Linked DNA regions of Mus musculus. The protein of the gene in region 1 purifies or fractionates together with the protein of each later gene. This does not show direct contact. Links are inferred from orthologs where the notes say so. Each region holds a gene or a part of one and is shown in the gene's direction. Other genes may lie near its edges. The genes, in order: Wwox, Vopp1 and Dvl2.

What was found.
Region 2: the proteins of Wwox (region 1) and Vopp1 purify together in Homo sapiens (affinity purification with mass spectrometry; 3 studies listed by BioGRID and IntAct, with this or other methods). This does not show direct contact. The link is inferred for Mus musculus from reciprocal best matches to the Homo sapiens genes WWOX and VOPP1.
Region 3: the proteins of Wwox (region 1) and Dvl2 purify together in Homo sapiens (affinity purification with mass spectrometry; 4 studies listed by BioGRID and IntAct, counting the BioPlex papers as one, with this or other methods). This does not show direct contact. The link is inferred for Mus musculus from reciprocal best matches to the Homo sapiens genes WWOX and DVL2.

The regions. Positions count from the first base shown.
Region 1 is NC_000074.6:114,438,229-114,442,480, forward strand, and holds the start of Wwox (WW domain-containing oxidoreductase), read left to right. Parts: upstream 1-1,423; 5' UTR 1,424-1,543; coding exon 1,544-1,650; intron 1,651-4,252. UniProt on the Homo sapiens protein: Putative oxidoreductase. Acts as a tumor suppressor and plays a role in apoptosis. Required for normal bone development. May function synergistically with p53/TP53 to control genotoxic stress-induced cell death.
Region 2 is NC_000072.6:57,759,090-57,762,734, reverse strand, and holds part of Vopp1 (vesicular, overexpressed in cancer, prosurvival protein 1 precursor), read left to right. Parts: intron 1-163; coding exon 164-300; intron 301-3,645. UniProt on the Homo sapiens protein: Increases the transcriptional activity of NFKB1 by facilitating its nuclear translocation, DNA-binding and associated apoptotic response, when overexpressed. May sequester WWOX in lysosomal vesicles and thereby regulate WWOX role as tumor suppressor.
Region 3 is NC_000077.6:69,999,295-70,003,465, forward strand, and holds the start of Dvl2 (segment polarity protein dishevelled homolog DVL-2), read left to right. Parts: upstream 1-1,297; 5' UTR 1,298-1,538; coding exon 1,539-1,732; intron 1,733-4,171. Other genes in the region: Phf23 (PHD finger protein 23), read left to right, coding at 1-158.

The DNA.
Region 1 (4,252 bases):
GTGTCAAATTTTACTCAGCAAAAGTGAGTGCATCTTGTTGTTGCAAATTTCTACTAGAGAAGAAAGTAAACAATCGATTAAAAACAAACAAACAAACAAACAAACAAACAAAAAACAGGTTCAAAGGTTCCTTGCTGGGAACCAAGGCTTTGAACTGCAGGCTGATAGCGCCACCTGGCGTGCAGCTTCGGAAGCACAAGCTTGGATAGTTAAAAAATCCTCATTTCATAACTACTGTGGCGCAGATGTTTTTACAGAAACAAGATGGTCATAAAATCTCCTTAGGGTATGACTTTGTGGGTGTTGGCTTTGTCTCACACGTATTCAAGCTCCTGAAAAATCTTCTTTGCCTGGGTTTACATGCAGATAGATCCTTGTTAGATCAAAGTCAAAGCTAAACTTCCAGGAGCCAGAAATGATAAACAAATAGGGGAAGGGACTAAGTGCTGTTGTGAAGGTAGGCTTCACATTGTGGGTCTAGGATATTTATAACCAGGATTTTTTTTTCAGGTGCTTTAAAAGTCTGCTTTGCAAGTTTGTAATCAGGTGCCGCCTATGAACAAGAGAACCAAGTTATGGTTGGAAGACCATTCTCTCTTAATAGAGAATCTGGAGGCATGAGAATTTGCATGTTCTCGATTTTTGGCTCCCTTTATAGCATAGGCTGGCCTCGAACTTGTGAACTTGTGATCGTTTTGACTTACCCTCCCAAATTCTGGAGTCACTTAGTTCTCCAAGTGTAGGTTTTTTTTTTTTAAATGGCATATTTACATAAACAACACAGATTGTGAATGGAAAAATACCTGGATAGTATCAAGTCAGGACATTTACTCTCGCAGGTGTGTCCAACCTGAGGCTCGTGGCAACACGTGGCCCGGGATACTAATAAATGCTGCCCAACACAAAAATCCTAAACTTTAAGCATTGTGAGATTTTTCTTTTCTTTTTCCTATTTGGATATTCGATTGAGGGCTTCTCTAGTGTAAATTTTGGAAATGACCATGTCACAGTATCATGTCGTAGTGTCAAAAGGTTGTACACCTGCAGGGCATGGGACGAAACTGGAGCTCAGAATAATCTCATCAGAACCTTTCCCCCCTCCCCGCCCCCCCTTTATAGTCCAGTTGAGCTTGGACTACATTTCCCAGGATACTTCACTGCTGGGACTCATTCAGGATTGGGTAAAACAATAAGGAAGTGCCTTCGGGTCGCCCAGCAACGTGCAGAGTCCTGCATGATGACTGGGTAAGCACGCCCCTTCCAGGAGGCTGAGGAAGCTTATTCCAGTTTCTGAGCCGTTCCTGCTTTTCCTTCCACCCCCCACGGCCGTTCCATCTCTTCCGCGTTCCCTCCCGTGCTCTTCTCAGGCTCCGCCCCCTTTCCCGCCAGTAGCTGCAAAACCCGGAAACTGGATTACAGCCGCGGACCGGCTGGGCGAGCAGTGCGCAGGCGCGAGCGGTCTGGTCCCCTCCCGGACGCGCGCGGCGCGGTTGAAGCCAGAGTGAGTTGCTGAGGAGAGCAGGCGGCTACTTCTGTCTCCAGCATGGCAGCTCTGCGCTATGCGGGCCTGGACGACACGGACAGTGAGGATGAGCTGCCTCCGGGCTGGGAGGAGAGAACCACCAAGGACGGCTGGGTGTACTACGCCAAGTAAGCGGCCTTGGAGCGGCGTTCCTGGGAGCCGTGTCCTGCGAGGCCTGGACCCTGCGCTGCCCTGCCAGGCGGGCATGCGCATCCGAAATGCCAGCCACCTGTCCCAGGCTGTCCCCCGTTATTAGGGGATCTGGGTCAAGGTCCCGTCACCTGGCCACCCGCCGCACGCCCCCTGCCGCTCACTAGGTGGCACTGCACCGTGCGGTGGTGGCGCCTAGGTCTTACTCCTCTAAAGAGGAAATAGAGAAAACTTCAAAGCCAAGCTCCTGCCATGGGGACCTGATCTGGAGGCCCAGCAATCTGTATTTTTAAGCAGATGTCCTGGATGGCTCGCAGTGGTTTCCCAGGGAAGTCTTGGAAACCTCCACAGAGCCTTTCCCTGTTGCTAACCGTGACCTTGGGCCACTGAAAGCAAGCCCCTGACTTTTCTGTTCTCCTCATCTCTGAAATGAGCAGACACAAGAATGAATCTGTGCTGTGCACAAGGCACTCAGTGGAGAGGCTAGTAGGTTGCCCCGCAGGCGTTTTCTGTTACTTGGACTGTATCTGTGGCAAAATTGCATAGGCGTGATAGGGGATAGTAGCTCCCATAGGGGGAGCTACTGCAGCTGACTCTATGCTTGGGGACCTCTGTTCATTTTTAAGAAATAGATACTTAATGGACAAAATGCTAGGTTTTCATACAGTCTTGATCAGGCTCTGCCAGTCAAAGAATGAAAAAGCGGGAAATTCGCAATGTAGCAGGTAGCAGTGGAGAAGTCTCCAACACCTCCGACAGCAGCAGGCACAGTCAGCAGGCTGAAAGGCACTCTGTAGGGGAGGACTCGTGTTCACAGGGCAGACACACATGGAGAAAACAACTGCAAAGCCAAAGGGAACTCTGGAGCCGAAAAAATTGCAGCCTCTTCTTGAGGGCTTTGGTTTTAAGTCATTGAGGAGTTTTCATTCCCTAATTTAAGAGTTGGTCAGTTTGAAGAAAAGATAAGGGTTGGTCAACCCACATCTGTTGGGTAACGTGTCCTGATGTGGTCTCGAACTTGCTGAGCCAGTCATCAGCAACAGCTGACTAGCAGGAGAAAAAGCCCACAAGGACTTTGTTTTAAGATGCCAGGCTTTCGACTCACATAAAGAGTGTGAGGAAGAAGCTGGCTGTCTTGGAAGTTCACCACCTGTGTCACCTAGCCATGGTTCCTCTCCCTGTCTGCCTTCCAAGATGTCTATCTGCCTCCAACCCCCGAGTTTCATGGTCTCCTTTTTCTTATGAATATTGTGTACTTTTCCTGATTTTTTTCTTCATATCAAATACTTCCTCTTCTATTTTCTTATATATCTGTGAAATATTTTTAAAACAGGGTCTCATATAGTCGAGGGTGGCCTTAACTTGGTTAGGTGGCCGAGGTTGAGCTCCCATTTCTCCTGGGCAAAGTGTGCATGAACAACACACCTGACTTTATGTCTTTAAAAGCTAGGAGACTCAATCTTTTTCAAGCTTTCTATGAGAGTATCTTATCACCTGGCTTTCAGAAAACAAACTATTGTATTAACACCTGTAAGTGTATTTTTAGTTTTTAATAATTAACTTAAAAAATTATATACAGACCAGACTGGCTTCAAACTCACAGAGACCTTCCAGCCTCTGGGGTTAATGGCACATGCTACAGTTTTGTCTAGCAGTGCTTCCTGTAGCCCAGGCTTGCCTAGACTTTCTTTTGTAAACAGGATGACATAGTTCTTGATGCCTCCACCTCCCAGATATGTAATTACAGGGTTTGTACTACCCTACCTGGTTCCAGAAAGACTTAAAAGATAACGTTCTTGCCCTGTTATCAAATTAGGAACTAATGTGCCCTGGCGTCTCCCCACTGATGGGCTGTAAAGTATGAGATTTGCAGGTACTCAAAGCTACTCACTGCTGCCCCTGGTGGCCAGATAGAAAGAAACAGAAAAGCTTTGGTGAGTTCATTCATTCAAGAGTCCTTAAGGGCCAGGCCGGTGGGTGGGCATTGGTGATGTCCAGCTAAGTGTGGTGCAGCTGCCATTCTTAAGGATCTCTGCAATACCAGCAAGTGATTTCTAATGATATAGTTCCAGTGCACTGTGTCCAGCGTGAGGTGGGTGGGTGGGTGAGGGAGGCCGCCTAGGAGAGGTGTCACTTGCCCTGTGTCTCAGAGTGCTGTAGAAGGTGGCCTCAGGTGGTAGGAAGTCAGGCAGGTTGGAGGGGGCAGTGGGAGGAGAGACCCCAGGCAGCCCTCTCTCTGTGGTATAGAGTTGTAAAGCCTGAGACTGGTGAGAAAGGAATCAGTTTGCAGAGGCCCTTCTGTGCTTCACCAAGGACTTGGATTTTGTTGTCGGACTCTAGAGCCAGCCGATGATCTGAAGCCAGGGAGTGATAGTGAGTTTGTGTCTTCAGAAGGACTGAGTGGCTCTGGAGACATGAGTGGATTGTGTGAGCAGGAGGTGCTGGGGTATAGGCATGCCAATGGTCCTGCATTGGGTGCTCCTACGTGGACCTCAGTGTGTGGAGTCTCAGCCCTAGAAAACGTCCTAGACTGTGCTGCTCCAACCACCTGAACTTAGCACTGTTTCTCAGTCCTTGGCG
Region 2 (3,645 bases), on another chromosome or scaffold:
CCTCATGGCTGGAGACTTCTCACAGATTTCTGGATCTCTGTGCTTTACCATTGGGGAGTGGTGTTCCGAGCCCCTGGAGAATCCTCAGGCATTTTTGTCGCAGTTCTCTAGCCTGACTTTAGCCTATGTCTTGAACTCTGACACATGTCTGTGTTCTTTGCAGGTTCCTGCTGATGATGGGTGTGCTGTTCTGCTGTGGTGCCGGTTTCTTCATTCGCCGGCGCATGTATCCGCCACCACTCATTGAGGAGCCCACATTCAATGTGTCCTATACCAGGCAGCCACCAAATCCTGCTCCAGGTCAGTTAGTCTCATCGTTGTCTGTCCTCCTTGTAATCTGAGTGACCTCTTCAGACATCACTTATGCCCCAGAGTGTGCTAGAAGAGATAAATCAGGCTACTTGATCATTTAAGTTCTGATGTGCAACTTGATTGTTTGTTCCTGCTGGTCGCAATGCAATATATTGTGAGTGTATCATCTGGTGTTCTTATTTTGTTACTGATGTACTTTCTGGGGCCCTGCCCTAGCTGTTCTTTCTTCTTGGTTTTCTCTTGAGGTAGCAGACAGGGAAAGAATATCAAGGTGGGCAAAACTTGGTCTTTAGAGATTTTTAGGGTTGCTGTTTAATAATAAAACGTGTACTATCTAAAAGTCTAGATCACTTTACTGCTATCGCTGTCCTGCCTGAATTCCTCTGAAGCCAGAAACTGCAGTATTGGCCTCAGAGGTTTAGTACTTCATCATCAAATAGCATCGAGGGATTAAGTAAAGGATTAATTCCTAGGGCCTTTGACCTCTTGTCTGGAAGCTTCTCACTTGTCAGGCTTGGGGGAGGTTTGGAATAATAAACTTCTATTGAACCAAGAGAAGACAGTCACACTCACTGAAAGAAAAACTTTTGCACAACCAAATATGAATAAACTCACATAATTTCTTACACACATTCATGTCTTTCCATTAAAACCAACTGAGTTCACCTTATATACTTACCTCATAATTAGATACTTAACGGACACACACGTCCATACTTAACATATGTTTATGGAGCAAAAGACCAAGCGCCAGTGCAGAAAGAACTCACTCATTCTGGACGAAAAATGAGTTCCAATCTTTATTTCATAGAGAAAGGAAACACTTCTACACTTTCATTGCTAAATGAATTAAGCCTGAGTCTATAAGAAAATGTTCTCTTTAGTAAAACTAAGCCTGCCTTGCTATTAAGAAAAGACCTGTTCTTTCCCATGGTAAGGAAAAGCCTGCCTGATCCTTTTGCTCTGTCTGCAGCTTCTCTTTTTCCTCTTTCCCTCTGCATTCTACATACTGCTCTCCTAATTTTTTAATCTGCCTTATAATTTCTGAGTTATTCCTCTTTCTTCCTCTTTCCCTCAGTGTTTTATACACTGATCTCTTAATTTTTTAAGTTGCCTTATAACTTCTAAGTTATTCTACTCTGCATTCTCCTTCTAATCTTGCTCCTCTTGCTCTGATGTGACAATGATAATGTCCTTACTCTCAGTGCCTTTACTTCCAATGCTGTGCTTGCCAAGAGATCACAGGGTTTTTCCAAACATCCCTCTCTTTTACAAACGTTCACTATAAATTCAAATCATATATTTAGTAAGACATATACAAGAGAGAATGTTTACATGCATATTCAGTAACAGTAATTAATTGTAGAGCAGCAGTAAACACCTTCATAGAAGTTACCAATGGCCTGTAGAACATATTACCCGAAGCAATGTTTCAATATCAAAGAGAATTAGCTATTTCTTTGTTCTTAAAAGACAATTTTTCCTTAACTGTATAAATCTCCCCCATATTATACTAGTTGGTGCTGCCTCCCCTCAAGACACAGGCTGGTATAGGGGTTTTGACAGTGTCTCTGAGGTCCCCTTGCTTGGAAGGAGCCATCTGTACATAGAGAGTTGCACGGTGCCAGAAGGCAGAGTAGACAGGCACTGCTCATCCTGGTTCTGAACTAAAGATTCTATGTTTCATAAATTTGAGGGCCAATATGTTGATTGCATTCACACCACTGTGCTCCCAGGCACACTGCTGGATTTCCAGCCACACTGCTGTGCTCCCAGATATGCTTCTCTGCTCCCAGTCACGTTGCTGTGCTCCCAAGAACGCTGCTCTGCTCCCAGTCATGCTGCTGTGTTCCCAGGCACACTGCTGTGCTCCCAGTCATGCTGCTGTGCTCCCAGGCACACTGCTGTGCTCCCAGTCATGCTGCTGTGCTCCCAGGCACACTGCTCTGCTACTAGGAACACTGCTGTGCTCCCAGGCACACCACAGGTAGATGACTGGACCGTTCTTTCCTTTTGCAACATTTCTATTATACAGAACAAGTAAGTCCAATAGATCTACTCAACATCTTATGGACTATAATGAACAAAACTATAGTTAAAAATATGCTTGGAAAAAGTTCACTTAGAGATTAGGACTAATGTATTCTTATTATATATACAAATACTAATAGTAAGTTAGACGACAGAGGTCTGTAGGATACATTGTAATATGGGCCATGGTGATTTCATAGGTGTTACCTTCAGACCCATCAGGTTTCATGCAATAAATAAGCACAGTATTTAATTTGTCCATCATGTTTAAATCAGAATCAAAGAGTGGGAAGGTTGAATGTAACAGGTATTGTAGCCTGTCTTGCTTTCTTGGTGACATGCTCAAGATGCAAAGAGAATTGTTCTTCTATCTGACACTTGGCAGAGTTTTCCCTTCCAAAAGATCTTTCTTTAATATTTTTAGGATTATCACCAAGAAAGATGTGAATGTATATTTTCCATATGAGTTTACTGGGAGCCACACCTTCAATTTTCACTGCAGTTTGGCATCATTTTGTATTCATACATTCATCTTATTATTTTAACTCTGCTCCTTTGGAACTTAAAACACAAATTTCCATTTAAAACATTAAGTGACTTCATGTTAAAACCATTCGTGAGTGGCTTTCATCTGGATCCATCACTCTTGGATAGAGAAAGGGCGTGCAGGACACATGTCCTTCCTGTCTAGAACTGGCCCAGTGACAGGACTGATGCTCCTGTAGTCATCCAAACTAGAGCCAATGTGGTGAGCAGGTGATAAACTGAGAGCCACACTTTGGTCTGTGCAGCTCACCTTGAGTGCCCTGTGGTATCCGAGTATTGCCAGAGGAGAATGCATCATGGCCACTCACATGTCTTGTTTTTGAAAGCAATAAACCCTGTCTCTGGAACTTTGGTCTCACTTTGGCTACACCCAGTAAATCAAAATATCTTACCAAATTTTATTTCAGACCTGTATTTTTCCTGAGAAACACTTGTTGCCTTTTTTCCTACAGTTCATAGTCTCACTGTGGCCATCTCTGTCTTCTAAGAAGAAAAGGAACATGTAGTGGAGCTAAAAACTACAACTCAGCACTCTGAATCCAGCTTTGAGGACAGAAACCTGATTATCTAGATACTGCTCACTGTTGATTTAGCATTCACTTTCCAACACTTAATTTTGTAGCTGAAGAGCTCAACTCTTTCACACTCCGTATGCATACTGAGTTCCTAAGCACCCCCATGCACATTTCATGACTTACACCCAAGTGACATAGCCCAAAGCATTCACACAAATGACCTTATCAGCCATCTACATCT
Region 3 (4,171 bases), on another chromosome or scaffold:
CCATGATTGAGTGCAGCCTCTGTGGGACGTGGATCCACCTCTCCTGTGCTAAGATTAAGAAGACCAACGTTCCCGACTTCTTTTATTGCCAGAAATGCAAGGAACTTCGGCCAGAGGCCCGGCGGTTAGGGGGTCTCCCCAAATCTGGAGAACCCTGACATCACTAAGGCTGGAACTTGTGACATTACTTGGGAACTGAGCCTCAGGGTCCCCAGCCTTCCCTTGGAGTGAGGAGGCTGTCCCCACTTGAGGGCCACAATTCCCAAGGGAGACGTATTTGGAAATGAGTGTCTTCTACTCTGTCCTTCCTGCTCCATGGACTTGAAGTTGACCCCATTACAGTTGGGTCGGGGAGGCTGGATCTGTAGACAGAATCTCTGTCCAGTCAACCCTGTACCCTTTTCACTTGCAGGTCCAGGGCTCAAACTGGGATGTAATGGGATAGTTGTCTATAAAACTGTAGTGTAAATACAGCACTCCCCTCATGTTTCTTCTCTCTCCCGTTTACTTTCTTTTACACCGGATGTATTTTTAATTTGGGGCTCCCCCATTTGAGCGAGGTTGCTCAGAGGTGGAGTACCAAAGCCTGTGGAGTGAGGAAGGAAAGAAAAAGGTGTCAATTAGCACTCGCCTCGTTTTTAATACTGTTGGCCGGCTGCTCAGACAGACGGCCTGCGTGTTGTAAATAAAGCAGAGTGGGCTCTTGTGTTTTACAGCCCTCCTTGTCCTATTTGGGGAGGGGATCTTTGGGAAACCTGGTGGAAGTCTTGGGTGGAGTTGGGGCTGAAGGCCACTTGTAAGTCCAGGGCTGTAATTCCACAATTTGGGAGGTGGAGATGGGAAGTTTAGGGGCCAAATCTGGCTTGGGCACTGTCTAATGCCCCTCAGACATCTCTGAAGACTATTTCGGCTTTCTCATCCCAAGTACAGTCTAGTAGGAGTACTGCCCTAAGGGTCCCAGGTTACAATTCTCACTCATCAGCCCATATCCCCGCCCCTCTTATAGTTGCTATTGAGGTGCCTTGAACCTCAGATGGGTAAGGCAAAGTGGGGGCCAGTTGCCAGCATTCCAAGAGTAGAAGCTTGCTAAGGTACTTGGGAGGGGGGGGGGCGGGTTGTACACGTTTGGGGGCGGAGTCGTCTAGGGCTGAAGACCGTTGCTCAAGGCAGTGGTCACGTGAGTGTCTAGGTGGAGCTTGTAGTAACGTGACTCAAGGAAGTCACGTGAAGCACAGTCGGCTGCGCAAAGTGGGCGGGCTTGGGTCACGTGGCATGGGGAGAGGTGGGCGGGGACCTCGGTGCTGCTCGCGACGTCCGTGGAGCTAGTGGCCCTCGACTGTGCGGTCTAGGTTTTGAGTCTCGCCACACAGCTCTTCCCGATCAGCCCGCTGGTCCCCGCCATCCTCCTTGGGCACGTCTTCCGCACTGGCCCTGCGCTGTTGGCGCTAGCGCGTCAGTTTGCGGGTGTGCGCAGGCGCGGCGGGGGCGCTTAGTCCTGTTGGGTGGGCGGCTGAGCCCGGGAGCGCGCGAGCGAGACCATGGCGGGCAGCAGCGCGGGGGGCGGTGGTGTAGGCGAGACGAAGGTGATTTACCATCTGGATGAAGAAGAGACTCCTTACCTGGTGAAGATCCCTGTCCCGGCGGAGCGCATCACGCTCGGCGATTTCAAGAGCGTTTTGCAGCGGCCCGCGGGCGCCAAGTACTTTTTCAAGTCCATGGATCAGGATTTTGGGTAAGCGCGAGGCCTAGACTGGGAAGGACGGTGGGTATGCTAGAGTGGATTGGGCGATATTGAGGGAGACCGGTCTACCTTGGACTGTTTCTGGCCTGTAGTGGAGCATAGCATATTGTACTGTGCTAAGGTAGAAAGCCCATCCCAAGACGGACAAGGTTATATTTGGACACATAGAAGAAAGGGCTGGATGGCGAGAAAATTAGGTTGGAGGAATGGGGAACACTGGTTTGTTTGGCCATTCTCTCTCCATGATTTTAGCCAAAAGGCAAAGAAGTGATGCTTGAGGTTATGCTAGGCTGTGCGGAGATTAGAGCCATCTATCTTTTGGTGAGCTGGGATGCTCGCTCTCAGACGTCTGCACGCGAGTTAGATAGAGATAGTCTGTAATTTTGTTTGCCTGTTTTGATTTGTTCTTTTGTTTGGAGGTAGGGCTTTATTCCTTGTATCCTAGGCTGGCTTCGAACCCATGGAGTTCCTGCCTTAGCCCCCAGAGCTGAAATAAACAGGTGTGAGCCAATATGCTGGGCATGCAGTGTTTTTATGTAGACCGGGCTATAGTGAGACAATTAGGCTATTCTGGCTTATTAATCAGGTTCCATAGTATTATTTTGGGATGGTAGAGTCTGTAATATTGCAGCGAGATCTATTGGGATATATTAGGCTGTTTTGAAGTAGACTTTCCTGGCAAAGCATGTACCATTCTGAACTTTTCTGAGTTCTTATTTCCTCTTAGGGCCAGAACCTCCTCTCCCCGCTACCCCGATACCCCCTGGGGGCTGAAGAGAGTTGGAGGATTTTTTTGCTTTTTTTTTTTTTTTAAAGATATTTTATGTGTTGGGCAGTGGTGGTGCACATCTTTAATCTGAGCACTTGGGAGACAGAGGCAGGCAGTTTTCTGAGTTCAAGGCTAGCCTGGTCTACAGAGCCAGTGCCAGGACAGCTAGGGCTGCACAGAGAAACCTTGTCATAAAACAAACAAAAGCTACTTTATGTGTTTGGGTGTTCTGCATGCATAGTGTGTACCACAAGCATGCAGTGCCCAATGAATCCAGTAGATGGCATGGGATCTCCTAGAACTGGAGTTAGCATCTGCCAGCCACTATGTGTGTGCTGGGACTTGAACTCCAGTCTTCTCCAGAGCCAGTCAGTCTGCTGCTGAGCCAAGAACTTCCTTCTGTTACTGAAGCTACCTAGAACACAATATAGAACAGGCTTGCCTTGAACTTGTAGCAGCCCTGCCTCTACACCTGCATCCATAGTGCTGGAACTAGATAACGTGTGGCAGTCAGGATGCCTGGCCCAGACCTGGGCTTTTTACAAGTTACAAGACAGGGACAAGTGGGAACAAATGGGGTAGTGGTACTGCTACATCATAGCAGAATGGGGTACTGTAATCAGTATGGTGCAAAGGGCTGCTTGTGTGGGGACGCTGGGGGCTATGGAGTTCTGGGGTGATTTGTGACATGCTGGGTGACCCTGTGCTGGACTGAGACTATAATTTAAGGCAGTTTCTTGTTGTTGTAGAGATTGGGACTGAGCCTTCTGTGTCCCCAAGCTCAGACTGTGTTAGGCTATGATGTCCTGAGTTGACAAGCAGGGATAGCAGGGTCCTGGGGACAGGAAGGTGACCTACCACCTGGGTTGGGGAGAGACTTCTTACCTGTGAAAGTCCCTGTGGTGGGAGCACATCCCCCTCGGCTCCCTGAACAGGCTGGACCCTTGTTAACAGTTGTTCGATGTGGAGAAGGTGATGCTGCCTAGGGAGTTGGTCTTGGGTTTATATCAAGGTTGTTCTTTTTGCATTATAATTTTGGGCAATTTATTTAGCTTTTGTGCTTTGATTTCTTCATCTGTGGCATGGTGATAATCATAGTGTAAAATGCTTAATTTCGGTGCATGGCACATGGTACATTCTTGGTGACTGGTAATTTTCATTTAGTATGGAAGCTAACTAGTTCATAGACTACATTACACGATACAGAACTGCTTGCTTTGGAGGAGACTGGGCCATGTCCGGTGGGGTTCTGTTGGGAAGAGTTGGTTAATGTTGAGTAGCTCGTGTGCCGTCTTGATAGCAAATGTATTCGTGAGGCCTATCCCCAAGCCCCCAGAGTACGTTAGGCTAGAACTAATCACACAGACAAATCTGTGCACACAGTGTGCCTGCTTGGTGCCTGGAAAGCTTGGCTGAGACAAGTCAGATCCCTTGGGACTCGAACTATGGATAGTTGTGAGCCACTAGGTGGATTCTGGGAACTAAACCTGGGTCTTCTGCGAGAACGAGTGTTCTGAACCACTGAGCCAATTCTTTAGCCCCCATCCCCACCCCGAAGAAGCTCTGATTTGAGGGTGAGGGTGTTATGTGTGGGAAAGAATGGCTCATGGCTCATAGTTTGTCTACATGGATTTGCTTACAAAGGTGAGGGCTTGTGCCAC